Xenopus tropicalis: one gene and its partners. The protein of the gene in region 2 purifies or fractionates together with the protein of the main gene of each other region. This does not show direct contact. Links are inferred from orthologs where the notes say so. Each region holds a gene or a part of one and is shown on either strand. Other genes may lie near its edges. The genes, in order: polr3h, polr3d, uncharacterized protein LOC496835, polr3b, polr3gl, gpn3 and polr2e.

Region 1 (2,807 bases), on a different chromosome or scaffold from region 2:
TGTACTTGCAGGGAAAGCTGTAAAGGTGGCAATCCTACCGATAAATCCCTCCCTTCCCCGACCCTTTCCACTGCTGATCAAACCTTATAAGCAGAGGCCCACCTCTGCCATGGCCATTTTCTTGCCCAGCCTGCCTATTTACCCTTCCTGTTAACTTATTGCCCTGCCTTCAACTGCCGTTCATGCCTGCCTCGACCCTTAAACCGGTATTGTTAGTGAACAAAGGTGGCACGTGTAACAGCGTTATAGGCTCGAGGTGATGTAGAGGGCATGCCGTGCAGATTGCACATGGGCCCCATAAAAAAACACATATGACCAGCATATGCTCAGTTTATTAAACGCAATACTTGATTATAAATTAGCAAAATGCAAGTGATGTTAGTTTGTCCCTCCTCTGTCTGCATTTGGTTTCAAATGCATGATTCTTGGGTAAATATGAATTTTAAAAAAATGATAGAGCCTGTTTTGCATGGCACTTCCAAGACTTATTCATGTCATGTATATACATATACTTTGGTACAGCTTAAAAGCAATGTAATTTGCCTATATAATCTACATTTTATAGTATGTATATGCACACATTTATGTTTGTATCTTTAACATTCACATAGTAAACAAGTAATGCCTTTTCATGTTCCATTGTGCACGTCTATCAATATAGTCTCAATACAATATACTTCTAGCTAGAATTTCTGAATATTAAGTATTTAGACCTGCTACTACACAAGTTGCCTTTGGCACCAAGTTTCCATTTGTGCATGCCCAGATTTAATGTAGGCAGAAATAGGAAAGTATCCAGCTCTAATGTGAATGGTAGATTTACTTGACTAGTATTGCGCCGTATGGTCAGCCTAATATTGGTTCTCTCTCTCTTACTATGGGAAAGAATTAGAAGATTTGATATTCAAAGCTGATCAGTACTGTGTAGTATTGGATTGGGTTGTAATATTTTTCTTGATGATGCATTATGTACATTGTGTATGTGTTATTTTGGGTAGAACTCTTTAACATTTAACATAATAGGAAGGAGGGATTATATGTGCAAACACAGTGTAAATTAACCAACACAGCAAACGTGGAACAAACTTATTGCCACCTCCATTTAAATCCCATTAACGCCCTCTTTCTTCCATTCCATAAAATCAAATCACATTCTGCTTCTTTGTGCTTAGGTTGTATATAACGTGGGTCTCTGTATCTGCCTTTTTGACATTACAAAAATGGATGACTCCTATATATTTCCTGGAGATGGTGCATCACATACAAAAGGTAACACTCTCTGAAAGTCTATCCTGTAGCCCTTTAGATAGACCTGACCTAGAACTCCCAGCGTTTCAATAATAACTATTGGCAGCCTCTAGGATGCTGGGAGTTGCAGCAGAGTGGTATTTTTTTTTTAAGGCAAAAGTTGCTTAAAAAAAGACTTAACTATAAACATTACAGTTTAGGCAAATGGTTAATCTTGCCCTGGCCAAAAGATAAATGGTGCATAACATTTGGCATCCCCCAGTGATTTAACTTTTCCTTTAATATTTAACCACTTTGGCACCAGAGTGACAGTTTACCCTATTTCCTGTTTTTTGCTTCTGCTCTTTTTATTTAACCTTTCTAACTCCCAACACCTTTGACTTTACAACTATTTCCTGTGTTACCAACCTAGCAAATCTTTCCTTACAATATTTTTTCACCTTGTGTCTTACTTCAGTCCTATTCCTCGCTCAGTGAGAACAATATGACTTTCTGTAGCAGAATCACATACATTTTAGTTCAAACCTTCACTAGTTCTGAAGTTTTTTAGCCATATGTTTACATGTTTATGGTACCTTAAGAGCACAAGCTTTGGCATAGTGCTTTAAATAATTTTTGTGCCACTATCCTTTAATCGGCGTGTCACTTTTAGTGCAGTTCCGGTATGTGGTATTTCGTCCTTTCCTTGATGAGATCCTCATGGGGAAGATTAAAGGTTGTAGCCCAGAAGGTGTGCATGGTGAGTATGTAAAATTGTTTGGAATCCTCAGATCTCATACCCTATTTGCTTAGATCGGCATTAGTGTACTGTACTTCTGTAATTGTCTCAGTATTTCACTGTGATGTATTTATAAAGCGCCAACATATTGCACAGCGCTGTACAATAAATACAAAAATACAGCCAATGACTGCTACAGAAGCAAAAGAGGGCCCTGCCCAAAACATATTATGATATCATACTTAATATTAATGTAAAGGTGGTCTTTTCCTTTAAGTTTAATAGCAGACAGGGAGATTTGTGTCCCGCAGTTTAAACTTCTGCAGTAGCCAAGATTTAAACATGGTCAACAAATCTCCCCATGTGCTATTACCCTAAAATGTTAGATCTATTGTTGGTAGGAAGTAATGGGATTGTTTGATTCTGCTAGACATGTCTTGTTCAGCTCCTTAATCTTGCAGATAATACATGATTCTTAATTCCTCCCACAGTTTCCCTAGGCTTCTTTGATGATATTGTTATACCTCCGGAGTCCTTGCAGCAACCAGCAAAATTGTATCTTTTGTGGTAACAGGGACAACTGTTATGGCCCCTCATGTAGCAGAAGTAGTAGCTGTGAGATTCCTTTAGTCTGTTTAGTAAGTGTGTATATTTCCTATCAACATTTCCTTGACAATTTTTGCTCTCAGTGATGAGGCCGAACAGGTATGGGTATGGGAATATGAGACAGAGGAGGGTGCTCATGACCTGTACATGGATGTGGGTGAGGATATCAGATTCCGAATGGTGGATGAGACCTTTATAGACACATCTCCAACCGGACCCAGCTCAGCAGAAGCCT
Region 2 (4,788 bases):
TTCCGTATATTTTCAGCAACTTTTTAGTCACCGTCGCGAAAAAAATCGGATTGGTTTTTCCGCCGTCTACTATCGCTCAATACGGAAAAATCTCACCGGCGACGCAAAAGTCGCGCAAAATACAATAAAGTGGCGACAAATACGAAAAATTTCGACGCCGATGAAAAAGTCGCAAAATTTTCATTTCCAATACAATTTTTTCCCTTTTGGGATTCGGATTCGTGGATTTGTAAATCTCCCCCCCCGTAGCGTGCATTTGTTAGCATTCCTGAGTAAATATAAGTGGAGAAGGAAAACTGAGAAGTTGCTGGTTTACTATCAAGCTTCCTAACTGGATATCCATTGATCAAAAATGTTTTTTGATAATGTCTGATTTATAAAAGTGAAGGGAGACGGAAAATCTGCAAATTCACAGAAGTGGTCACATTGGGTGCTCATAGACCTCAAGTGGATTTGGGTGTTATAATTTAGCAACATAACTTGGTGTGATAATTACAAAAAAGAGTGGTAGTAAAATATAACGAGCATGTACTTTTGTAAACAATATCAAGCTTTTTTTTTTTCCATTTTCACCTTATGTTAGGTCTAAAGACAGACGAGTTACACACAACTAATATTGGACCTGGGACACAAGGTATTTGGAGTAGGGATCAAATATTTGGATTTTGCACTATTTAAAGGAGACATATTGGATAAATGGGAAAAACCCTAATTTTGTAGGCAATTATGAATAATATTCGGTGCTGGTTTCCCATTGTGTTTAAAATTAATCCTATCTGTAAAAATGGCCCCTTTGTTGGAGCTCCCTATAGATCCTGTCTCTTCTCTGACCAAGTTTGAAATAAAGAGTGGGCGAGTCCTAACGGTCCCTGCCAGAAGCACAGTAGGAGGGGGAGAGCCAATCACAGCCCTGCACTCACACAAGCGCAGACAGGCTTCAGTTCCCTATCAGGTCAGCCTAGCTGCTGATTGGTTCCTATCCTACAGTGCAGTGTACGGAGGGCCGCCGGCTCCCCAGCTCATCCAGAGAATTCAGCCAGCAGGAAGTGGAACAGATGGGCGGGGCTAGTGGGGTTTTGGGGGAATTTCTCAATAAATCAGTCTGAAACACAACTTTTTTAAGCACATTCCTTCTATATCTAGAGGAGTATAATTCACTGGTACATTCATAATTTATATAGGATATGTCTCCTTTAATAATAATAATAATCATATTATTTTTGACCCAAAATGTATGACAGAGTAAACATTTACATAATTCTCCAAAAAAAAAAAACCCCAAACCTGATTCTTTAAAAAAACAAAAAACTTTTTTAGCCAAATTGGGAGAAGAGGCTCTGCTGTGAGCAGATTCTTGGACACTACCATCAATAAGCACCCTAAAACTACAGACTACTCATTATACCCGCAAGATACTTTTATATTAGCCCATATGTTGTCCCTAAATGATGGAAAAGTATCATTCCAGTCTTCATATAAAACTCTGGATCAGAACATAAAATAACTGATTTTGGGTAACTGTGGGTGGCAGTCAGTGTGGGCAAACTCATCTGCCAAACAGGGATCTTTACTGACGCCCTTTGGAACCCTGAAACTTTTAGAAAAAAAAATACAGCTACCCTCAAATTACAAAGTTGCTAAAAAGATCCTATCATTTTACCCACCCATGTTTTGCACACAAATTTTTTTCCTATTTAGTTCGAGCAGACTCAGCAGCACTCTCCAACAACTTGAGGGCTCCGCTCAGTCCGCTCGCCACTCCCACAAGGCGGCTACGTCCCGTGTCCCTGCACTTATATGTAGGCGTGACGTCACACTCTCGCGTGATGAGACTTGCGGCGTCGGGATTTCGTGTGAGACATGTGGAAAGGCGGAAGCAAGTAACAGCTCTGGGAGGTGTAAGTAAGGTAAAGCAATGGTGTTGAGAACTATGCACTTTCTTGGATCAGCCGGGCCCTCTGCTGTCAGTGAGCTGCAGTTTTGGGAGAGGAGCATTGGAGCTACGGTATTTGCAGCGGGGAAAGAACAAGCAGACTCCCCAGCTCCCTTCTGAAGTCTACAGCTCACTGACAGCAGGGGACCTGACTAATCCAGGTAAGCACAGCGGGCCCTTTTAAGGCTGAAGACACACAGAGCTACTAGTAACAGCTACTTGTTGTGGCTACAGAAACAGACAATGCTGATCATTTACTGATAATTGTCTCTTGGTGTGTTTTGGCAGAGGCAATTCTCAGTATTGTCTATGGCGGGGATTTTCTGGTATTTAGTAGCCGTGAAAAAGTAGCTGCTACTAGTAGCTCCGTGTGTCTTCACCCTAAGGGCAGTGACACACGGGGAGATTAGTCTCCACGCAACCAATCTTCGTTGTTGTGGGCGACTAATCCCGTCCGACCATCCCGCTAGAATGTAAATCAGCGGTGGGATGGCATATGCAGCCCCGCGATTTGCCAAAGTCGCCCGAAGTTTCCTCTCAAGGCAACTTCGGCAAATAGCGGTGCTGCGTATGCACACAGGGAGATTAGTCGCCTCAAGACCATTCTTTCTCCCCGCAATCCCATCCCACCAGCTAGAATGTAAATCGGCGGTGGGATGGCATATGCGCCACCGCGATTTGCCGAAGTAGCGCGAAGTTTCCTTGCAAGGGAACTTTGGCAAATCGCGGTGCTGCGTATGCCATCTCACCGGCGATTTACATTATAGCTGGTGGGATGGCATTGCAGGGAGTTTAGTCGCCCGCGACGACGAAGATTTGTCACACTGTGACTAATCTCCCTGTGTGTCACTGCCCTAAAATCCCTCATGGTGGCCCTGGGGCTTAGCCTCCACTACAGGTGGCCAGTTTTGTATATAAATATATAGACAGTGTTTTATAGAAAGCAAGCAGTAACATAAACACCACCACGTAGGTGTAGGAAACGTTCCTATCCCCATTCTCATGTATTAATTCTCCCCAACAGAATGTCTGACGGTAATCCAAGCAACGATGGTGGGGGGCCGCGTACTCCAATGGGCAGGGGGCTTGTGGGACGCAGATCTTCTACTCCTCTTACCCCAGGTCGCCTTCCTTCCATCCGCTCCCGAGATCTTACGCTTGGCGGAGTCAGAAAGGTGGGTTTCCATTGGCTGTTCTTACAGAGAAGTGGCTGGTCAAATGTGACTATCTACTGCCAGTTCTAATATCTGCACATATATGTATGTTGGATATCACATGTATCTCAACCAGGCCGTACTGTCACTAAGGGCGAAGACACACGAATATACTTAGAAGCAGCTACTTTTCATTGCTACTAAACCCCAGAAAATGCCCTGCCATAGACAGTACTGAGAATTGCCTCTGCTAAAACACATGTAGAGACAATTATCAGTCACCAGAGAATGTTTATTTTTAGCAAAAAAAAGCAATAACAAGGAAATGGAAAGACTCAACACCCCCCAAATATTCACATTGGCTCTCTGAAGTCAAACACCTATGTGCAATGGAAAGTCTAATATATAAAACTAGAGGAGCCCCCAAAAAACACGAAAAAATATGGGGAAAATGGCTAGAAAAATCCACTTAAGTGAGCTATGGCGGTATTTTCTCAAAGCATTTTATGATAGTATGTTTGTAACTGTAATATGTGCCAACATCCGAGGGAAACAGTCAGCAATGACAAGGGAAAGGAAAGTGCATACAAAAGATAAGGTTATAATGTAATTTAAAATGCTGTTGCAACTTTTGTTACTGCAAAACATGTCATATACTAAAACTACATTGTGGAACTCTGCCTCATAAATGTGATGTATATATGCTGAAACTGATGTAAAATCTTCTCAATAAACTTGCCTGAATTAAAAAAAAAAAAAAAAAGACAATTATCAGTAAATGATCAGCATTGACTATTTTAGTAGCCATGACAAGTAGCTGCTAGTAGTAGCTTCATGTGTCACCCTAACTTAATACTGCCCTGGTGCGGTTATTAGGGCTGTGACAGACAGGGAGATTAGTCGCTTGGCAAATAATCTCCCTGTCTATCACAGCTCTTAAAGGGCACCCCCCACCAAATAGGGGAAACAATAGCCTTTCTTTTAAAAACTGCCCCTGACAGCGCTGGGAGGGAGCCCCCGTTGTGGCCAGCCATGTTGGAGCCGCAACTTGACAACATAACTCATTATGCGCATGTGTGTAACTTAGGAGGGTGATTTACATCCACCACTCCTACGACACGTGCATAGTAAGTAAGCGGGGATATCCGCGCATGTGCGCCGACCAACATAGCCGATCGTACTGGGAGCTCTCTCCCAGTGAGGGTAGCCCGGCGCTGGAAGTTTTTTTTTTTTTTTTTTTTTTTTAAACTCTTGTTTCTCTCAACTGGAATGCAGGCTCTATTAGGCCACACCTCTGGTGGAGGAAACAATATTGGTGTGATAGGTGCCCTTTAAGTTTTTTTGGCTGTAGGACTCTCAGTGAAGATTCATTTATATCATAGGTGTTTTACGGGTCATATTCAGTCATGGAGGGGTAAGAGCAATGAGGTGCACAAAAGCACATTTGAGAAGTCTCTTGCGCCCCCCTGCACTCTGTGCCGGATAAAAAAAAATATTTGATGCTGAGTGACAAGCAAAGCCTCAGGATGGGCCCCACTTTGGGCTGAACATCGTGCTGCTACTACCTTGCCAATACCTCAGTATTAAGTACAAGATAGGGGGCGGGAGGAAAGGACGCCTGTGTGCCCCTCCAGCCACCCTTTTTAAACTACACAGTGGGCAAAGTGCAAAAAATGGGCGATTGCAGACCTTTTTTTTTTT
Region 3 (4,771 bases), on a different chromosome or scaffold from region 2:
GGGTCTCATTGCGTAGGGCAGAACAAGAAAGCCTGACACATACAGTTGGTGCCTGAAACCAGTGTCAGAGTGTGGTGTCCAGGGCTCACATTGGAGGCCCCCATCCCAGTCAGGCTTCTGAATGCACAGACATGCCTCCTCCACCCCCTGCCTCAAACAGTAACCTGGACTCAGTGTTGGACTGGGACCCCAGGGGCCCACCGGAAAACCTTAGACCAGTGATCCCCAACCAGTGGCTCGTGAGCAACATGTTGCTCCCAACCATCTCTGATGTTGCTCCCAGTGGCCTCAAAGTAGGTGCCTGTTATTACATTTGTAGCATAGAGACTAGTTTTGAAAATACAGAGGCATCATTTTAATCCACTTCATCGGAGTGTGGCTCACAAGTAAAAAAGGTTGGGGATCCCTGCCTTAGACTATAGGCCCACTCTCCGAACTATTTTTTCTCACCCACCCTCTTTATTCTCCTAGTCTTTTTTATTTACACTATTTCTCCTCTCTGTTCCCATTCAGAAATAGGGAATGGCCATGAAGCAGGCCAAATGGTCAGGAGCAGGAGGGCCCACCGACACCTGGGCCCACCGGGAGTTTTCCTGGTATCCTGGGGGGCCAGTCCGACTGCCTGGGCTGCTGCACTTTTTGAAAAAGAGAAACACCATTCCTGTGTAGCAAGTAAGGGACTAGCACAGTGATCCCATTTAATGTTACTCCCTGAGGCCTTAATGCAGGCACTTATTTTTGAATTCCTGGCTTGGAGGCAAAAAATGAAAGTGTATAAAAATAATTACAATATAATGAACTGTTGCCCTGCACTGGTACAGCTGGTGTGTTTGCCTCAGAAAGTCTATAGTTTATATAAACAAAGGTGCTGTGTAGCCATGGGGGCAGCCATTCAAAGGAGAAAAGGCACAGGCACATAGCAGATAACAGATAAAACCCCATTATATTCTACAGAGCTTATCTGTTATCTGCTATGTAACCTGTGCCTTTTCTCCTTTTTCAAGGTTGAATGGCTGCCCCCATGGCTACACAGCAGCTTATTATATATAAATTATAGTAGAGTTACTGTAGCAAACACACAACTTTACCTGTGCAGGGCAACAGTACATTATATTTTAAATACTTTAATACACTTTCATTTTTGGCGTTACTGTTCCTTTAACCGCGCTGCCAACCTACAGGCATTAGTGACAGGGAGGAATGCAGAGTGGAAATTGTTTTCTCAATACGCCAGTATTTGGCACAATCTCTGAGGTTTTTCAAGTTTGTTTTGTTCCCCAACTCATTTTAAAGTTACTAACAGGTAAAAAAGTTAGGGTATCCCTACACTAGAACCACTTTGCTGTGTTCTCCAACTTGCCCCCCCCAAAACCCCCTATGGTTTTGCGCCAGAGTTTGGGTAAACTTAGCACAATCATTCCACAACTTTTTTTAACCATTGATGACAGTCGTCGTAGTGTTAATCAATATTTTACTATCCATGTGATCTCACAGCGCTGCCCAAAACTATATATATATATATTCCCTTCAGCACTAGGGAGGCACTCCGCAGCTCAGTGACGCCTCTGGCCCCGCCCATTCCGGAAGTCGCTGCGCTGCTTGGCGTTGTTGCCATCTCGCCAGTGTATTTCCGGGTTCCTTTGCTGCAGAGCAGAAATGCAGGAAGACGAATTGGAACGGTACGAAGTATATGCGAAATAGAAATAAAATTGCATGCTGCTGCTTGTGAGCTGTCTATGTTTTACCCCAGTGAACGCTTTATAGTGCAGAGACTGCTTGGGTAGTGGGTGAAGGATAAATAATAATATATACATGAATTGTTATGGGACAGCTGTTGCTGGGGAAGTGGGGACTGATTGGGTGCAGTTACTTTTGGGTCCTTGTTAGGAATACATAGGGGGAGATTTACTAATCCACGAATCCGAAACCGGAATGGCAAAAATTCAGATTGGAAAGAAAATTTTGCCGTCTTTTCGTCGCCGCCGCAACTTTTTCGTATTTGTCGCGACTTTTTCGTCGCCGACACGACATTATCGTATTTTGCGCAACTATTTCGTCGCCGTTGCAATTTTTTCGTATTGAGCGATTGTAAACGGCGGAAAAACCAATCCGATTTTTTCGCGACGGCGACGAAAAAGTTGCAGAAAATATACGAAAAAGTCGCAAAAATACCGATCATTGCGAAAAAAACGCATGCGGATGCCTTCGGACCGTTCGTGGATTAGTAAATCTGCCCCATAGTGTTGATCCGTAGGCTATAGAGAGCTCTTACTGGTACTGAAAGCCAGCTGGCCAGACTGTGGTTCATGTATATCACTGAAAGGCAACCAATAGCCCTTTTTGTATTGTGGAATTACAGCTTCCAGGGTTGGTTGTTGCAGTGGGAGTTAAAGTTAAACTACATCAATAAAGCAGCAATTAGAGATGTGATTTTGGTTTTCACTTTTTTGTAAAAAAAAAAAAAAATACTGGCCTTTCTATGTAATTATCTTTCTTCCCTATTAATAACATTGACATCAAGCATTATTTTGACCGGCTGGGTTGGTATAATACCAAGCAGCCATAGATGGAATTAGGATTGTGCACATTTACATGTCTCTGGGAAGCACTGTGCATGGTTCAGGATTTGTAGGTCCCATAGATTTTGCTTAGAACACTCTCAGCCCACTTATAATAAAATAGTAAACCAATAAAAGCAGTTTGGTCATGCAGTTTTTGGTGCCGTTGCCATATTAATACATATTCAGTGTACTTGCCTGGAGACCAAAAGAAGAGACTGCTAGTTGGAGGCAGATTTGTTGAAATAATGGAATTTTTAAAAAAAAAACGTAAAGTATACTAATGTTTAATAATGTTAATAGGCCTTATTTCATGCGTTTGATACATTTTTTGTCCTCTTTAAATTGGTGTAAAAGAACTTTCCCCCCAAAACATGTGTGTAGATTTTTATTTATGTAGCAATACTTATATATGTTGGGCTGTACAGCCGATATTGTTAATGCTAATTTCTTGCTCTTTTATGCCGATGCAGGAAAGCTGTAGAAGAGCTTCTCAAAGAAGCAAAACGTGGCAAGATCCGAGCTGAAACTATGGGACCAATGGGCTGGTAAGTGGTTTCTTTATACAATTTTTAATGATATATGTGCGTGTAACACTATTGTATGGTTAGTAACTGTGTTCATATTAAAAATACTGGTGTGTTTATAAAACTTGAAAAAACTGTTCTCTTCCTTTAAAAAAGGAAATGGGTAGTCAATGGAGGGAGGTGCAAACCCCTCATACAGTTATTATAATCATCATTATTATTTTCACTTAAAATACACTGGCCCTGTGTACTATTCTTGTGAGGCCTGTCCTGTGCCTATGTGCAGCATAGTAAAATGTGTAATTCAATGTGAAATGACAGGTAGGCTTCTCTTGCACTTAAACACAGAGTAGGGCCACTGCAAAGATTCAGAGAACAGCAATAAGATGACTGCATGGCGCTAATAAGGATAATACCCCAAGCCAGTCATAGGTAAGTGATTATAATCTAGGAATCCCAAACCCGAAATATGCTAATTAGGAAGAGAAAGGGGGAAAAATTGCAGCGTGCGCAGCAAAAAATTTTTCCCCCTACCATATAATCCTTACAAACATGGGCGTCCGCAGAAAATTTTCCAAGGGGGGGCAAGTAAGCTAGCATCATCCTGCAACAGACAAATATATATATATATATATATTTAAAAATATATATTTTTTTTTTGCAGGATGATACTAGGGGAGGCTAAAGATGGCCCATACACAGTCCGACCTACAGCTAATGTGACACTTAGTGGATTCGCTGCTGGCGTAAAAAGTTAACCTCCCAACTACCTCTTGCCGTTCCCACTGACTACCAGGGATACTGTACAAAAGTGCGGGTGGGGGTGCTTTTTTTTTTTTACCCTAAAATGTTTAGGATGTAAAAGTATTCATACGCGCACGCGGGATCTGCAAACATTTGTGTTTGTGATCAGTTAGCTTAAAGGGGTAGTTCGCATTCAATTCACTTTTATTTTTAATGGTTTTTCAGTTATTTAGCTTTTTGTTCAGCAGCTCTCCATTTGGTATTTCAGCAGCTATCTGGTTGCTAGGGTCTTATTTACCCTAGCAACCAGGTAGTGGTTTAAACAAGAGATGGGAATATGAATAGTTAAGGGGCCTACTTAGAAAAATAAGTAATACAAAATTATAATAATAATAAAATTGTAGCCTCACAGAGCAATATTTTTTGGCCCCCATTTGAAATCTGTATAGAGGCAGAAGAGAAAGGCAAATTATTCAAAAAAATTAATTAGAAAGACCAATTGCAAAGTTGCTAGGAATAGGCCATTTTATAACATACTAAAGGTTAACTTAAAAGTGAACCACCCCTTTAGATGTGTTTATGTTAGTTTTATAGCAAGAAAGGCAGTGGGTACTGACTCCCCATTATATACAGTGAGACGCAGTCCGTATTTACAAACCCAGCACATTATATACAGGGAGATGCAGTGGGTACTGATGGCAGATATTCAGGCCCTGGCACTATAACACTGGCACTGATACACAACATTGGCCCCACTGTAACTTACTATAAATGAACAAAACAATGACAAAAAAAAAAAAAAATGGTGTATAGTACCTGTGTATAGTGCCTGGGTATAGTGCCTGTGTATAGTGCCTGGGTATAGTGCCTGGGTATAGTGCCTGGGTATAGTACCTGGGTATAGTGCCTGGGTATAGTGCCTGGGTATAGTGCCTGGGTATA
Region 4 (4,140 bases), about 110 Mb from region 2:
CTGCTTTATCTTCAGTGGATATATTGGCTAAAACTACAGCATTTGCTACCTCAGCCAGAAGAGCTCAAACCCTGGCTCAAACCATGGGTGGCAGATATAGCCTCCAAAAACCGTCTGCTTAATCTTCCATTTGAGGGAGAAAAACTTTTTGGATCCCAGCTGGAACTTCTAGTGGAAAAGAAGTCTGATGATAAAGTGAGAAGCTTACCTCAAGACAAGAAATTATACCCAATCTAGAGGAAGATCTTCAAGAGGAAGGGGCCGTCCAAATTTCAATCAAAAACCTTTCTCAGCATGACGCCTTGCCAGTTGGAGGAAGATTGAAGGGGTTCGTTCAGGAATGGGAAAAAATCACCTCAGACAAATGGGTGTTACAAACAATAAGCCTAGGATATTCAATAGAATTCTATGGTCTTCCTCCAACAAGATTTATAGAAACACGCTTACCAAAACAAAGGGTTGCAAAACAAGCCATGGAATTAGCAATCCAAGAATTCAAAGAAATGAAAGTATTGATTCAGGTACCCCAAAAAGAAAAATTCAGGGGGGTCTACTCCCCAATCTTCCTTGTACCAAAACCAAACGGGAAATACAGAACCATCATAGATCTAAGATATTTAAATCAATTTATATTCAAGAAGAAGTTCAAAATGGAATCAATAAGATCCACCCTGTTAGCGCTTCGCGAAGGGGATGTGATGTGTACTATAGATCTAAAAGACGCCTACCTTCATATTCCCATAAGGGAATGTCACCATAAATTCTTAAGAGTAGCCATAAGGGGACCTGCAGGAACAGAACACCTTCAATTCGCAGCCCTGCCGTTTGGAATATCGAGTGCACCAAGAGTCTTTACAAAGGTAATAATAGTAGTCGCAGCGTACTTAAGAACTCAAGGTATTGCTATTATTCCTTATCTGGACGATTGTCTACTAAAAGCAGAAACCGATTTAGGGTTACAAAGGAACCTATTCAAAGCAATAGAGGTTTTCCAGTCATTGGGCTGGTTAATAAATTGGGAAAAATCCAATCTAAATCCTACAAAAGAGATAAAGTTTTTGGGAATGATCTGGAACACAGAAGAAGGAAGAATTTTCCTTCCTCCAGGAAAAAGGGAAAAAATCAGAGACAGAGTGCGCAAGTTTCAAAACAAAAAATTTTCTTCAATAAAGCAGGGTTTAGAAATTTTGGGTCTTTTTTCAGCAGTATTAGAAGCAGTTCCATGGGGTCGTGCCCATATGAAGGACCTGCAAAAATATATGAACTCAGTTTGGGATCATCAGAAGGCATCACTCAGAAAGAAACTCTATGTTCCACCGGAAATAAAGAAATCTCTTACTTGGTGGTTACACCCAGGGAACCTTTCAAAAGGTTCATCCCTATTTCCTATTCCTCCCTTAGTCATCACAACAGACGCAAGTGGCAAAGGTTGGGGAGCACATTTAGGAAACCTGGTAGAGCAAGGTATCTGGGAAAAAGGTATTGGTCATCAGGCAGCAAACTCCTTAGAGTTGGAAGCAGTATGGAGAGCTCTGCTTGCTTTCAAAACTATTGTAAAAGACCAAAATGTTCTAATACATACAGACAATGTGGCAACAGCCTACTATATAAATCACCAAGGAGGTTCCAGAAGCAAAGATCTGGGAATGAGAATAAAAAAGATCATGGGCTGGGGAGAAAAAAATCTAAAAAGTATTCTAGCCCGCCATATCTCTGGGCACAGCAATATCAGAGCAGACTTTTTAAGTCGCAGGTTGATACTCCCCGGGGAGTGGAGTCTAGATCCAGAAACATTTCTTCAGATTTGCAAGGTCTGGGGTTCTCCAGAAATAGACCTCATGGCCTCAAAGTACAATGCAAAGCATCAAAGATATTTTTCCCTTACAGCAGGCCAAGGCGAGGAAGCAGTGGATGCTCTAGCCCAATCATGGGATTTCAGCCTAGCATATGTCTTTCCGCCTATCCCTATGTTAGCAAGAGTGATCAAGAAAATTGCACTTTGCTCAACAGAAGTGATTCTAATAGCTCCTGCCTGGCCCAGAAGGAGTTGGTACTCCAGTCTCCTCCAACTTTCTGTCAGTCCTCCTTGGCTCCTTCCAGTGAAGGAAAATCTCCTACACCAGGGACCAATTTTGCATCCAAACCCTGCAGCTCTTCAGCTCACAGCATGGAGACTGAAAGGGATGTTATGAAAGCACAAGGGATATCTTCACCAGTCATTGAAGTTCTGTTACAGAGCAGGAAAGAAATTACAAATAAAATTTATCAAAGAATTTGGTCTTGTTTCAGGAAGTGGTGCTCAAATAAGAAACTAACTCCAGAAGATGTTCCAGTGTCAATCATATTAGATTTTCTACATGATGGATTTAAGAAGAAATTAGCTCCAAATACACTTAAGGTACACATTGCGGCCTTATCAGCTTTCAAGAACATATCCTTGGCGGAGCATCCATTGATCAAAAGATTTGTCAGGGCTGTTCAAAATATTAGACCTAAGACAAATAACCTAACTCCAAATTGGGACTTAGACATTGTGTTAAGAGCCTTACAAAATGTTCCTTTTGAACCCTTGGAAGAAGTTTCCCTGTATCATCTGTCCATTAAAACAGTATTTTTAGTGGCAGTTTGTTCAGCCAGACGCGTAGGAGAACTGCAAGCTTTATCATGTAAAAATTCGTGTCTACAAGTTTTTCCAGACAGGATCATTCTCAAAGCAGATCCTTGGTTCAGACCTAAAGTCTCATCTAATTTTCATAGAAACTTTGAAGTCATTCTTCCAGCTTTTTTTGCAGAACCAAGAAATAAAGTGGAGGAAAAGCTACACTTACTGGATGCCAAAAGATGTGTTTTGTTCTATTTAAACAAGGTAAAACCTTTTCGTATATCTCATAACCTTTTCGTTTCCTTTTGGGGAAAGAACAAGGGGAAGCGTGCCTCAAAAACTTCCATTTCCAGATGGATAAAACAGGCAATTTCCTTAGCCTATTCTGCTTCAGGAAAATCAATACCTCCAAACCTCAAGGCACATTCTACCAGAGCAGTGTCAGCCTCACAGGCAGAAGTTGGAGGTGTGTCAGTGGACCAGATATGTAGAACAGCTTCGTGGGCAAGTTTCAGAACATTTGCAGAGCATTACCGACTGAACGTAGGTACCCCTGGGGAAGTGGCGTTCGCAAATACGGTACTTTATTCAAATTGTAAAAAAAAAACCCCTTGACGTACTGCTACTCAACTCTCTCTAGTAAGTGCTGCCAAGGGACGTGAGGGAAATAACGGATTTATACTTGCGTAAATTCCTTTTCCCTCAGTCCCGAAGGCAGCACAATATCCCTCCCTTACAGTAAATATTCTATCAGCATTGTGTATGTGTCTTATTGCTTGAGAAAATCACTGAGGGCTAGAGGGAAGCAGAGGGACTTATAGGAGATGAGGGGGTGGAGTAATTAATTGGGGGGTGTGGTGTTTTCCTACCAGGTGGAAGTCATCTCTCTAGTAAGTGCTGCCTTCGGGACTGAGGGAAAAGGAATTTAAGTAAGTATAAATCCGTTATTTAGCCTTGATTTTTTGTTGAGCTTTAGTTTCCCTTTAAGAAAGAACCCTTGCTAATGGTTGTTTGTCCTTGTGTCTAGGTGCCATTTCTGCAAGTCGTCTTGTCATGTCTCCTCCTTGAGGATCCCCTACGCCTGCAAGTTGCTCTTCCAAGAGCTCCAGTCAATGAATATTATCCCCAGACTCAAACTGGCCAAGTATAATGAATAAACTGACTAGAGATGCACCAAATCCAGGATTCAGCTTGGGATTTGGCCAAGATGCAGCCTTTTCCAGCATGATTTGGATCCAGCCGAACCACTCCGAATCCTTAAAATCACTTGACTTTTTGTAACATAAACACAGTTCTCTTTAACCCCTCCGTAGCCTAATTTGCACATACAAATTAGGATTCGGATTCAGTTCAGTATTTGGCAAAATTTTTCACAAAAGATTCGGGGTTCGCCCAAAATAGTGGATTTGGTGCATCCCTAAAACTGACCCCCATCTGCCCCACAGAGGCTGTACATACAGCAAAGACTCTGCTTTGTTGGCATGTAAATAATATGATTTATTTAACCAGTACAAAGGACTTGCGGGTTGTGGCCAGCG
Region 5 (4,140 bases), on a different chromosome or scaffold from region 2:
ATTTGGTAGTAAATTCTGTTTTATTCAACCAAAACTTGCCCCCAAGTCAGGAATTCAAAAATAACTCCCTGGTTTGGGGGCACTGGGAGCAACATCCAAGGGGTTTGGTGAGAAATATGTTGGCCCCGAGCCACTGGTTGGGGATCACTGATATAGGAAAGTTCTCAGTGTGTCAGGTTCTAAATAGGCCACTCCCATCCCTTCAGAAAACTGATCAGAGAGACAGAATGAGGACTGATTTAAAGGTATAAAAAGTAGCTTTTTCAGTGGCCTTTGTACTTTTTTTATGTAAAATGCTGCAAGCATTGTTGGTGGTTTACTAAAAATTAGACATTGAAGGCAAACAACCCCTTTAAAGGGAACGTTAGCCCAAGTGATACCTTATATTACCAAAAGTATCTGGACACCTACCTGTCCATTATTTAATGAATTTAAACAAAACAAAAAAAGAAGTGGTCCTGCTGCTCCAGGTCCTTAGCTCAGGGAAGCCGACAGGCTATCATAACAAAGTAAAAATAGATGATGAGCACTAAAAGTTAAACCCAGTGTTGGATGACCACAAGTATCTGGACATCTACCTGTCCACTGTCTCTGTTAATTAAAACAAAACAAAACAGAAGGGCACCAAAGCACAAATCTATGTAGAAGACATACCAATTCAAGAAAGCAGTCTGGGTGCTACTGACCTTTAGCTCAGGGAAGCAGAAAGACCATAACAAAGCAAAAATAGGTGATGGGTAATCCAATTTATCCACAAAGGGCACAAAATAGTAGTCAAAATCTCTGTTTATAACATTATCTCTACAACCTTACACATATTGTGCCCAAAAACACACTTAATCATAGTTCCACATTATTTTAATGAAACCAAAAGTATAGTCCATCTTACCTGAAGAAACACAGGTATTTGGCCAGTTGCAGCCAAGAAAAGCAGATGTGGCAATGGGTCGCTGCCTTGCTGGGTTCCTTTTCCTTACTTGCCACCTCCCCTTGCTCCTGGATGAGTTTACTTCTGAGTTTATGACGACCACATTTTTGGTCTGATGATAAAGCTTCCAGTTTTATAGTGAGAAGTGGGTCCAAGTGGGTAGAAATACAAGTCTGTGGGTTTGGTGGAATAGCCCTTTGAGATCTTTAGCCAAGGGTATTAATATGAATATGTTATCTGTTATACCAACCCATATTCTTCTGGGAAGCCTTTTTACTGGATGGTGGAACATTGTTGGATTGCTATACACTACATGAAGGAAGTCATGAGATATATACAAAAACAAAATATACAACAACATATACAAAATGTCAGGTGATGTTGATATCTCTTATACCCAGGCTAGGTTATTCTACTGTTTCTTGGGCATAGCACAAGATGGCTGGAAAAGGCAGAGGTAGCGGTCGGGGCCAACTGACCTTTAATGTAGAAGCTGTTGGAATTACCAGAGGGGAAGCACTGCCGCCACCCACTCTCCAACCTCCCCCGTTGTTCCCGGTAAGTTAAGCTCTATACAGCTTTGGTATTAAAGGAAAAGTAACACTAAAAATTTTTAAGTAAAAAAATCTATTCTACCCTGCTCCAATAATTGCCCTATCCTGCACACCGTTTATTATTTTGAATGCTTTATTAGAAAATACCTGCTAAAACCTGGCTTCCGGTCATTTGAAATAAGGCGATGCAGAAGCAGAATTGATCGATCACAGCCTGACTCCTTTGATCGATCCTTGCCTGACTCCTTCCTATACAGAAGGAAGGCTAGGATTGATCGTCGCGTAGTGGATTCTGCTTCTACATCGCCGTATCGCCTTATTTCAAATGACCGGAAGCCGGGTTTTAGCAGAAATTTTCTAATAAAGCATTCAAAATAATAAATGGTGTGCAGGATAGGGCAATTATTGGAGCAGGGTAGAATAGATTTTTTACTTACTTTCCTTTAAAGTGTACATGCTATGTATAGAAATGTACCAAAATAGGCATGAGTGGGGAACATATTGTAACTAAACCACAACTCCCCATATTTTTGACTGCTGATATGTGTTATTGGAGTCAGCAGACTGAATTTCAGCAAGAAGCAGTGAACTACAGGCTCCTGATCCATATCTTAGCATTTTAGTATCTGTTTTCCCTGTCTGCCCATTGTGCACTGCCTTCTATTGCTTTCTGACTTTTTGCCTGTTGGGTGGCAGGATCAGGGTCTGCATTTTTCATTACAGTGCCCAGTTGCCCACCCCTGTGCCTGCCATCCACCTGTTTGCTACTATGGGCCCTTTACAAGTGAGATACATGTGGCCTTCCCTAAGGTATAATGGCCTTTTAGTTATACTGTTATGTTTATAGAATATACATAGGCTTATTTTTCATTTGTCATGGGTTTAAATGCTACTTACCTGGATAGTATTAGGTCTTTATTCATTTTTTTGTACTAATAGGTTTTATTATTTTTTCCTTACTTTCCTAACTTTTTTCACTTGAAAGAAAACCCAGCCATGCTGTGTGTCAGTAGTGCATTGCATACTCATGCTGGAATCAGACTGGACTTTACCTGTCAGTGACTGACAGTAGGGTGTGTTGTTTACAGCTGGGAAACATGTTAGGTTGCGGAACTCAAAAGAAATTCATGCAGCAACTCTATGTACAACAGTTTTGTTAAACATTCCCTGCAGTTTCTTTTTAAAGGACAAGGAATGGTTAAATTACTGGGGGGGGGGGGGCACTCCCTTCAGTGATTATAATGACTTACCTGATACTCTGGGCCGGTGGTCCATTTAGTATAAAACTGCTCTGCCCTGGGGTACTCTGAGCAAGCACCACAGAACAATCCTCTTCTTTCACTTCTTCATTCCTCAATCACCCAGGGTGCATGTGTGCATGTGTGTGAAAAAGCAAACTTGGCTTTTCACTTTACTGAAGTGAAGAAGAAACAAGATGTAGATAATGCAGTGGTGCTAGGTCTGAAGTACCCCAGGCTGCTGCAGTTTTCTGCTAACAGGAGCACCAGCGTGGGGTATCAGGTAAGTAATTATAATTACTGGGGGGTGCCTAACATTTGGCACCCCCTCTGTGATTTCATCTTTTCTTCTCCATTAAGAGCTATACACTGTGTATATCATCCTACTCTCTTTGTTGTTTTGTTCAGAACCTGGAATACAAACCAGTACCCCTGCAGACAGGGGAGGAGGTGGAATATATGCTGGCGTTGAAACAAGAACTCCGAGGAGCCATGAAGACTCTCCCGTACTTCATCAAGCCCGCTGCTCCCAAGAAAGGTGTGTTTAGCTTGGCTCTATTTGGTTGCCCTAAAAAGCACTATATCATTTATTGTTGCAAGGGCAAGTAAAGCAATAGAATCATATGGGCGTGTGGTTTTTAATGCAAATGCCTGATTTTTTACCAGCCCCCCATGCAGTTTTACTTAATCTCCCCGGTCTACTTCTCATGCATGTCTGTGACTCCCCAGGCACACTACCCCCAGTTATGTTATGTGCATGCCCATGTCGTCTCGCTCACTCTGGGAACTTGCACCCTAGGTTGCTTCACTTCACAGTTGCTCCCCATTGGTTAAGGTGAGGAGTTGGCGTAAACTGGCAGCACTTGAAAGCTGAACATGCTATCCTTAAACATGTAGGAAAATAGAAGGGTAAACAAGAACATGGCTAGCAATACATTTACATTAACTAACAATACAGTAAAATACCTTTGGTTCAGCAGCCCTATAACTGCAATGATCCATGCTTTCGAATTTGTATACAGCAACCTCCCATTCTTGGGGTCTTGTTAGGCCATCTTTTGAGTGTCAGTGGCACTGCACATGCTCAGTGTGCTGTTGGATACTGTAAAGAAGGAAACCTCAGGGGTCGTTGGAAATTATGCTGCAAAAATAAGGTTACATTTGTCATAGCTGATGCTACATGGCTGAATGCAGTGCAGAATGCACAGGTTTTTATGACACGGTCACTTTATGGTAATTTAAAGCAAAAAGCACTGGTCACGTTATTCATTATAGATATTTATCAGTTATAACACACATAGATTGTGATACCCACCGGCACTTTATTTCAATTTCAGAATGAGTGTTGTGATTAAGTTTATCGTAATTATGATACAAAACTCAGGGATAGCTGAGTTTAGATTTTCCTTAAAACCACAAA
Region 6 (4,734 bases), on a different chromosome or scaffold from region 2:
CAAGGGGTGTAATTATATGCTGGGGGGTTGCTGTGCTATCCACAGAAGAGGAGGAGGCATATCGATTTAAGTGTATAATACATAATATAATTCTTTCATATATAAATTAAGGGTGATATCCCTTCAGTGAGCACCAACCATTGGGTTTTTGCTGTGTTGCCACCATTAATGTGGGGATGGTCTTAAAAGCTCTTGTGATAGCATGGGTGTAGTTTGAAGTGGGTGTGGTTTAAAAAAGGGGAGTGGTCAAAAGTGTCTTCCATTATCGGCCCTCCACCATGTAGGCAAGAAAAATTCCGGCCCTCGGTACAACAGAAGTTGGACAGCACTGCCCTAGAATATGTTAGATGGTAATATTTACTTATAAGTAAGTAAATTATCTGTTTGTGAAGTATTTGTTCTGAAGGTATAGTTTTCCATTAAAGAAGTCTTAAAAACTCAATTGGGGAAGTGTATCATGTTTATTCCACAAGGGATGGCTTTTGGATCCTTTTAGCCCTTACTGGTTATTCTGAATACATCCCAAACTCTACAACAGAAGCCATGTTCCAAAAACTGACACCGATCTTGGCAGTAGCTTAGTAATTTGTCTGCAAGTTGGGTTATACAGATCTGAATTTTTAAAGAGTATTTAACATCAAACCAGGGGATTTGGATGCAATTAGGAGCTCATTTTCATGTATCTACACACAACTTTTAAGCAGTCATATAATATTTATGGAACAGTACATCATATACATATTTTCTAGAAGGCCTTGCTATATTTATGTCTGAGGATAAAAGAAAATGCATTTACCTAATTATAGAACGTTTCGCAATCTGAAAATGAAACACTGTGTATGGCTGCTAAAGTGTATGAGTTGGGTTGCAGCAATGTAGCTGACAGCTAAGCAAATGCCTCCCGTGTGTCGGCCCCAGCCACTTCCTGCATGACTAACACTCTTCCCCTTTTTGCACAATCTGCAGGGCAAGTAGTGGCCTGACTAGCTGTAGCCCACCCCTATCCCATCACAAATAAAATAATACCGTATGGCAGTTCTGTGACCGTGTTACATATGATAGGAGCGCTGGGGAAGCAATGAGAGATCCTTGCGCAAGATCACATGAAACAGGTAGAAAGAAAAAGCCCAGCGATCCACCCTCATTTCATCTCTAGGCAATTCCTTCAATATATATACGTGGGCACTGGCACTGGCACGGTAGTGGGGGCGTTCTGCCTTACCAGCGCCAGAGAGATCACATACAGTCAATCGCTGGTGTGTTCATAAGACTAAAAGGCAACATACAGAACATACAATGAGCCCTTAGCTGTAGGGATTCTGGGGGCCGCGGTGCAGCCGGCAATGCTAACGCGGAAGCGTACCTGCACTGGGCCCCAGACATTGGCAACACCGAATCTTATCATTATGGCCATTGGCTCTAAGTAATGCAGGTACCGGCGGGCAAGCCCTGCTCTACCCCAGTTCGCCTCCTGCCCCGAGATCCGGCTGCTCCAACGCAGCATAGAATACGCAGGAAAAAGAAAAAACTCACCGGCATCTTTAACACCCCTGAATATTTGAAAGGAATCCGGGAGACCAAACGTTGTAGTATCTGTACTTCCGCTGTCCCACCCAAGGCTTCGCAAGCAGGAAGTTATAACATTAGCACAGCTAGTGCGTCTCATGGCCGCTAGAGGGCGCCAGCTTAATCGCAGGGAAGGTGAGGCGTCCGTAGCAAAGCGTCCCGGAAGTACAGCAGCGCGACTACTAGGCAGCATTACAGGCAAGGAGGCGCTTCCGGCATGTCTTATTGCAAAGGGACTGTGGGGAACTAGGTGTTCTTGCTCCTTATTGGATCACCTGGGCAGTTTTCAAGTCTGATGCAAGGAGAATGCCGCGATATGCACAGCTCGTTATGGGGCCCGCCGGCAGCGGAAAGGTAATTTCTGGGTTTGGTCTCTCAAAATTGTGGATTTGTATCATACCTTTAATGGGTAACTATAGAGCAGTATTACAGTGTAAGATTTCTGCAGTTCGGGATCCCTTTTCCAGTTTTTCCTGGAGCCTGAAGAAGAGACCTCTCTTGTTTGCTATTAAAAGAAAGTAAAATAATAATTACAGTAGGATGCCTAGGCATGTGCGCAGTACTAACTATATACTGACTATATACTGACACCTACAATTAAACTGTTTTTAATAGCTTATAACATTGTCTTTGCATGAGCTGTATACTTTCTTTTTAAAATGCTTTTACGTTACCAGTACCTCTAGAAGGAGGCTGCCATATTTGTGCAGCAATAGTCTGTAACTGTAAATTCCAATAGGTTGAAAAGGGACAGTCAGGTTGGCAAAATAGTCAGGTTTAGGCCCTTAAAGTAGCAATTCCTTACAAAAGCAGCCTATCAGTAAAATATGACCAACATGACCTATAGGTAAGTTTTTATGTACATAAAAAATAGGTAAGGTTTTTTTTTTTGGTGTCAGTATCACATAAGGTTTTCTAATTTTATGTATTGCATATGAGCAAGTCTAGAATGCCACAAAGGAGCCTTGGCATATGTATAGACCTATGTGTGTCTAATATATTACAACAGTAGAATTTTTTTTTAATTACATCTTTTTGGCAGATGGTGATTATTAATCTTTGTATTTCAGAGCACTTATTGTTCCACCATGGTGCAGCACTGTGGGAGTTTGAACCGATCTGTCCAAGTGGTTAATCTGGATCCTGCAGCTGAGCATTTTGATTATCCTGTATTGGCTGGTAAACCACTCCCTTACATATGTCAGATTATCTTAGTGGAGAAATAACTATTAAATGCTGTTTGCTTAAATATTACAAATAGAATAATGTAACACAGGTGTGCCAATAAAAATGTTTCATAGTCCTGTTTGATAAAGTTATCTCTGCTTCACCAAGTAGAGCATTCTACAGTCTAACCAGTCCCCTGTGAAATAACTATTTGTATTGCTTCGGATGAAAGTGCATTTTCTCTAGTCTAACAGTGAAAATAATTATCTTTTGTTTTTGTTTTTTTAAGATATCCGGGAACTGATTGAAGTGGATGATGTGATGGAGGATCGTTCATTGCGATTTGGCCCAAATGGGGGCCTTGTATATTGTATGGAGTATTTTGCCAACAATTTTGACTGGCTGGAGAGTTGCCTTGGACACACAGAAGATGATTACATACTTTTTGACTGTCCAGGTGAGAACTTTAGCAAACAGTTGTTTTGGAATGAGTTAGTGATGCTGGCAGATGCTCTGAAGGGTTGAATTTAATGGATATTTTCTTTTGTTAACTTAAATAAAAAAAAAAAAACATATGTACATTTGCTGTGCTAGACCTGGTTTTGAAAATTTTGCTTTTGCTTCTTAGGTCAAATTGAGCTGTATACTCATCTGCCTGTCATGAAGTACCTCGTGGAGCAGCTCCAGCAATGGGAATTTAGGGTCTGTGGGGTTTTTCTTGTTGACTCTCAGTTCATGGTGGAATCATTCAAGGTACAGTAGCAGAGTGAAATGTTTTCACATTACATGCATACAGCGGTGCCGCAGGGGTTCTAGCTGCCAAGTTGCTTTTTCGTGTCAGGGGGGGCCTTTTGCTAGTGCAGAGAGTGCAATAGCACCCTCCTCAATAAAAGAGCCTAAATTCCAATTTAAAAATTGGGATTTCGGCTCTTGAAGTTACCAGTAGTGCTTTTTGCTGCCCTTGGTAACTTGCCGGCACTGTGCCTGAGGCCAGTTTCTTAACACGCTTAATAGCAGCAGTGCCCCTGCATGCATACTTGTAAAACCTTTTGTTGTCCAGCAGATTAGCAGATGGGGGCTTCCTTGCTCATAATTTAGTCAGAAGTGTTATTTAAGTTGATTCACATAGGGCAGTTAGCAGGTCCCTTGGTAGTATTGTTATTTGTAGAGGTACCAATCTTTGTAATGGCTTTCAAGCCATTTTGCAATTCTGTAATGGTTTATATCAAGGCAAAAGAAACAAATCAATTTGGCCCCTTGCTGAATAGTTTGGTAACCTAAACATAGGTGTACACATGGCTTAAAAATATATTACCCACAGAGGTGTTAATATGGAAGATAAAAGGAATCATAAGGCTGCTGTGTGCTTCTAGATCCACACAGGGTTTAACTGGTGAATATGTTCTTTCAACTTGTTGCAAGAAGCCTAATAAATAAATTCTGAGAAAATGCTTCCTCAAGCTTATAAACAGTGCAAACTTCTCCAGTCAGCATTGCTAGACAAAGAAAAAAAATTAAAACACAGAAAAAATTATTTGATTTATATGAAGACAATTATCACTTGTGTCTTAGAAATGGGAAACTAAACTAGCAGCCAGCATGATCTATAAACTAACCTACCAGAAAAGGCTGTAGTGATTATGTGATAATAAAAAATCATTGTGCATCTTGTGTGTTTTGTTTCAGTTTCTTTCTGGGGTTTTGGCTGCTCTCAGTGCTATGGTTTCCTTAGAGATACCGCAATGTAATATAATGACAAAGATGGATTTATTAGGGAAAAAAGCCAAAAAAGAAATTGAAAAGTAAGTTTAATTTTTATTATGAGTTTTTGGGTCAGATTTGTGGAAATGGCTTTACAGTGTCATTAAAACTGTTCATTATTGACAGTTATGTTACCATGCATGATATCAAGACTTAAAAAATATAGATTGAAAAAAAAAAACTGCAAAAGTGTCGAGAGATCTGCATGTTTGTGGTTAACTCTTTCTTTCTATTTTTAGG
Region 7 (3,181 bases), on a different chromosome or scaffold from region 2:
GCTCAGGGATTTTACATTTGACCATAACTTTGTAAACTAAAACTCCCAATATGTTGCATTTGTAGCTCGATTGCTGGATGAATTTGTAGTTCGGTACCTCTAATAGCAAATGATAGGCAGGATGTGTAATTCAGAATATAATAAAAGCCCACTACATTTTAATTTTTTTTTTTTTTTGTGTTTCCTTTGCACACTGTAAAAGAATAGTTATAGTTGATAATACTTGTGCTATGCACGTGGTGTTATGTTTTACATTTGTATAACCACAGCTTTCCCAATTACCTGCTTTAGCATTCCTCTCCTATGATACTATAATCACCTTTTAAAAGAAAGCCAGTAGGGTCAAACATAGTTCAGACGTAGGTGAAAAATGTAAATTTCGAAAAGGGATATAACACATTTAGTGTGCTCAAAGGCTGTACATAACAAAAAAACTATGCCAGCATAGGTAATTTACTGTGCAGTTTTGTTGTGGGATATACAATCATCTTCCTGGGTAGAAAGGATGAAAGAGGGCCTTTTTTGTTACTTGTGGCACACTTACAATATGACACGTGGTTCTTCTGTCCCTCCAAATGTGCCACTTGTATTGGCAGTACATCAGAAACCATTTAGATGCATTCAGTGATGCCGCCTTGCAAATTTGCAATGTAGTCCTGTTCTCAAGTGGTAAAGATTTCTCCATGTATAGGGAAGTTTACCTAAAAAAAATCTAACATACTAAAAACTAATTTGTATTTGTTATCTTAAATTGAAATCTTAACCTTCCTGCTGTTTAAATATATCTGCAAATATACAGTACCATACAATCTGTATGTAAATAAGATGCAAACCAGGCTATTGTTAAAATTGCATATTAATACTATTCCCAATATTTTTGAATGTGATTTTATTTTTAGCTCACAACATAGCTAAAGATATATCAGCTATAGTTCCAAGAATATCTTTTATAGCCAGTGAGGTTTCAAGAAGAGCATCCTCCCCAATTCACACCTTAACTGCCATTCAGTGCCCCATGCCTCTGCTAGAAGGCCCCCATTTTGGGGACATATGTATGTTTTTGTTCTACCTTTCGGGTGAAGATTTTGTTATGTGGTTGTATAAGAGCGAGAGATCAGTCTTTGCTTTCCTTTTGTACATCATTTCTCTTTTATTTCCAGTTGGTTCCAGAACACGTGGTAATGACAAAGGATGAGGTGACGGAATTGCTAGCTCGATAGTATCCTTTTTATTAACCTGCTTTTCTTGGAGAGTGATCGGCTTTTGCACACACACATGACGGAACTTGGATCAGAGATAATTGTTCTAATATGATCTTTCTATAGGTTCTGTATATCCCCCATGGATGATAGGAGTGAGTAACAGTTCAGAAGTCACACTGTTCTAATGCTGTTCACTGTTGGACAAAGCAATAGAGTGCCTTACGTTAATTTGAAATAGGTGTTTTTTCAGGTTTTAAAGAGGAGTATCACTTAATTCATCTCTTTAAACACACAGTATGGGACTTGCCAAGAAATTCTCTAGTTAGACCAGCATGGTTTTTTTTTAGCAATAATGTATTTTTTAAATATACTATATTATTTTACTTAAGTAGAGGTATGGGACCCGTTATCCAGAATGCTCGGGACCAAGGATATTCTGGATAAGGGGTCTTTATGTAAATTGGATCTCCATACCTTAAGTCTACTAAAAAACAAGAAAACATTAATTAAACCCAATAAAATTGTTTTGCCTCCAATAAGGGTTAATTGTATCTTAGTTGGGATCAAATACAAGGTACTGTTTTATTATTACAGAGAAAAAGAAAATGCATTTAAAAATCTGAATTATTTCGTTAAAATGGAGTCTATGGGAGACAGGCTTTCCGTAATTCAGAGCTTTCTGGATAACGGGTTTCCGGATAACTGATCCCATACCTTTAATATCATTTGGCCTTAATAACATCTACAGCAAACTTCGGGAGTCTCAGCTTCCCCGTATTCAGGCTGGTGACCCTGTGGCAAGATACTTTGGGTTAAAGCGTGGTCAGGTAAGAGAGAGAGTGTCTATGGCCTTTTATTTCTTTTCTTATTCTATTTTTTTGTTCATTATAATTTTATAGAGACTATAATTTTGCTTTCCTGTAACTTTTTTCAGTGTTTTAGTGTTGGGACTTGAGAGATATCTGTATGTCTAATGAAAATAAAAATACAGCTTCATCATTGCATTGTTTTGATCCTTATAAACATTGCTTTGTATGAAATAATTTATTCCTTAATAGGTTATAAAGGGCTATGACTAACTGGAAGATTAGTCAGCCCTGGTTCACTGCAATGCAGGGGACTAATATCTAGTGGGAAGGCATACGTGCTGCTTTATTTTCTCAAGTTGCATAAAGTTTCCTCTTGCGACTTTGGAAAACAAAACAACACTTATGCCCTTCCCACCAGCAATTTACTTTAGTGCCCGTGGAAAGGCACTTTGAGGTCATTAGTCACCTGTGGATAAGTCTCCCATGGCACTGAGCTCCCTTCTCTAGTATCAACAGGATATTTTAAACCATCGGCTTTTCTAATATATTTATGGAATTGTATGGGAATCATCTTTCAATAAATATTTTTTTCCAGACAGACAAATTCATCAGTCTGAAAAAAGCCACAATATCTGTGATTGTTGGCACCAGTTCCTGACCTCCTTAGGGTAATAGTGTAATGCAGTCCCTTACTCACCATGTTCTATTGTTAGTTCTAAACTTAAAATCCCTTTGCTTTCCATAATGGTTGGTATAGAGATTGTGGAAAGCAGAGGGGCTTCATGTCATAGAATCTATCACATCACAGTGGATCAAGGTGAGGGTGGGAGTTGTATAACACTGTAAACCTAAGGCAGCTAAGGAACTGGTCCCAGAGATCATGGTTTCTTTTTTTCCCTCTAAGTTAAGATATTGTTTATGCACCTTTTCTACATAAGGTAAATATACCCCCATGTTGACATGAGCTCACGGCAATAGACAAACAGAATTTGCTTTAAATAATACACAAAGAATTGTACTTCTTGTGTTGACCCCTGCATTATTTAAAATGAGTTTGTATGTTCTCTGTGTGGCAGGTTGACTGGCTCCTGATGATTATTGGCCCTATTTTGTGAATTGGCTAGGTAATCTTAAACTTCACTGAGGCAGGGACTTTGTTTCTATAGTGCC

Evidence for each region.
Region 1: the proteins of polr3d (region 2) and polr3h purify together in Homo sapiens (affinity purification with mass spectrometry; 6 studies listed by BioGRID and IntAct, counting the BioPlex papers as one, with this or other methods). This does not show direct contact. The link is inferred for Xenopus tropicalis from reciprocal best matches to the Homo sapiens genes POLR3D and POLR3H.
Region 3: the proteins of polr3d (region 2) and uncharacterized protein LOC496835 purify together in Homo sapiens (affinity purification with mass spectrometry; 6 studies listed by BioGRID and IntAct, counting the BioPlex papers as one, with this or other methods). This does not show direct contact. The link is inferred for Xenopus tropicalis from reciprocal best matches to the Homo sapiens genes POLR3D and POLR1D.
Region 4: the proteins of polr3d (region 2) and polr3b purify together in Homo sapiens (affinity purification with mass spectrometry; 8 studies listed by BioGRID and IntAct, counting the BioPlex papers as one, with this or other methods). This does not show direct contact. The link is inferred for Xenopus tropicalis from reciprocal best matches to the Homo sapiens genes POLR3D and POLR3B.
Region 5: the proteins of polr3d (region 2) and polr3gl purify together in Homo sapiens (co-immunoprecipitation; 4 studies listed by BioGRID and IntAct, counting the BioPlex papers as one, with this or other methods). This does not show direct contact. The link is inferred for Xenopus tropicalis from reciprocal best matches to the Homo sapiens genes POLR3D and POLR3GL.
Region 6: the proteins of polr3d (region 2) and gpn3 purify together in Homo sapiens (affinity purification with mass spectrometry; 3 studies listed by BioGRID and IntAct, counting the BioPlex papers as one, with this or other methods). This does not show direct contact. The link is inferred for Xenopus tropicalis from reciprocal best matches to the Homo sapiens genes POLR3D and GPN3.
Region 7: the proteins of polr3d (region 2) and polr2e purify together in Homo sapiens (affinity purification with mass spectrometry; 6 studies listed by BioGRID and IntAct, counting the BioPlex papers as one, with this or other methods). This does not show direct contact. The link is inferred for Xenopus tropicalis from reciprocal best matches to the Homo sapiens genes POLR3D and POLR2E.

Annotation. Positions count from the first base shown.
Region 1 is NC_030680.2:120,319,481-120,322,287, forward strand, and holds part of polr3h (DNA-directed RNA polymerase III subunit RPC8), read left to right. Parts: intron 1-1,172; coding exon 1,173-1,269; intron 1,270-1,900; coding exon 1,901-1,987; intron 1,988-2,457; coding exon 2,458-2,521; intron 2,522-2,655; coding exon 2,656-2,807.
Region 2 is NC_030679.2:129,689,360-129,694,147, forward strand, and holds the start of polr3d (DNA-directed RNA polymerase III subunit RPC4), read left to right. Parts: upstream 1-1,846; 5' UTR 1,847-1,907; intron 1,908-2,957; 5' UTR 2,958-2,958; coding exon 2,959-3,108; intron 3,109-4,788. UniProt on the Homo sapiens protein: DNA-dependent RNA polymerase catalyzes the transcription of DNA into RNA using the four ribonucleoside triphosphates as substrates.
Region 3 is NC_030678.2:155,277,384-155,282,154, reverse strand, and holds the start of uncharacterized protein LOC496835, read left to right. Parts: upstream 1-1,650; 5' UTR 1,651-1,656; coding exon 1,657-1,679; intron 1,680-3,031; coding exon 3,032-3,106; intron 3,107-4,771.
Region 4 is NC_030679.2:15,932,410-15,936,549, reverse strand, and holds part of polr3b (DNA-directed RNA polymerase III subunit RPC2), read left to right. Parts: intron 1-3,629; coding exon 3,630-3,759; 3' UTR 3,760-4,140. UniProt on the Homo sapiens protein: Catalytic core component of RNA polymerase III (Pol III), a DNA-dependent RNA polymerase which synthesizes small non-coding RNAs using the four ribonucleoside triphosphates as substrates.
Region 5 is NC_030684.2:128,432,251-128,436,390, forward strand, and holds part of polr3gl (DNA-directed RNA polymerase III subunit RPC7-like), read left to right. Parts: intron 1-1,329; 5' UTR 1,330-1,366; coding exon 1,367-1,486; intron 1,487-3,128; coding exon 3,129-3,258; intron 3,259-4,140. UniProt on the Homo sapiens protein: DNA-dependent RNA polymerase catalyzes the transcription of DNA into RNA using the four ribonucleoside triphosphates as substrates. Specific peripheric component of RNA polymerase III which synthesizes small RNAs, such as 5S rRNA and tRNAs.
Region 6 is NC_030677.2:162,794,757-162,799,490, forward strand, and holds the start of gpn3 (GPN-loop GTPase 3), read left to right. Parts: upstream 1-1,775; 5' UTR 1,776-1,872; coding exon 1,873-1,920; intron 1,921-2,636; coding exon 2,637-2,745; intron 2,746-3,022; coding exon 3,023-3,190; intron 3,191-3,361; coding exon 3,362-3,486; intron 3,487-4,419; coding exon 4,420-4,535; intron 4,536-4,733; coding exon 4,734-4,734. Other genes in the region: arpc3 (actin-related protein 2/3 complex subunit 3), read right to left, coding at 1,534-1,539. UniProt on the Homo sapiens protein: Small GTPase required for proper localization of RNA polymerase II (RNAPII). May act at an RNAP assembly step prior to nuclear import.
Region 7 is NC_030677.2:100,193,673-100,196,853, reverse strand, and holds part of polr2e (DNA-directed RNA polymerases I, II, and III subunit RPABC1), read left to right. Parts: intron 1-1,160; coding exon 1,161-1,219; intron 1,220-1,950; coding exon 1,951-2,029; intron 2,030-3,181. UniProt on the Homo sapiens protein: DNA-dependent RNA polymerase catalyzes the transcription of DNA into RNA using the four ribonucleoside triphosphates as substrates.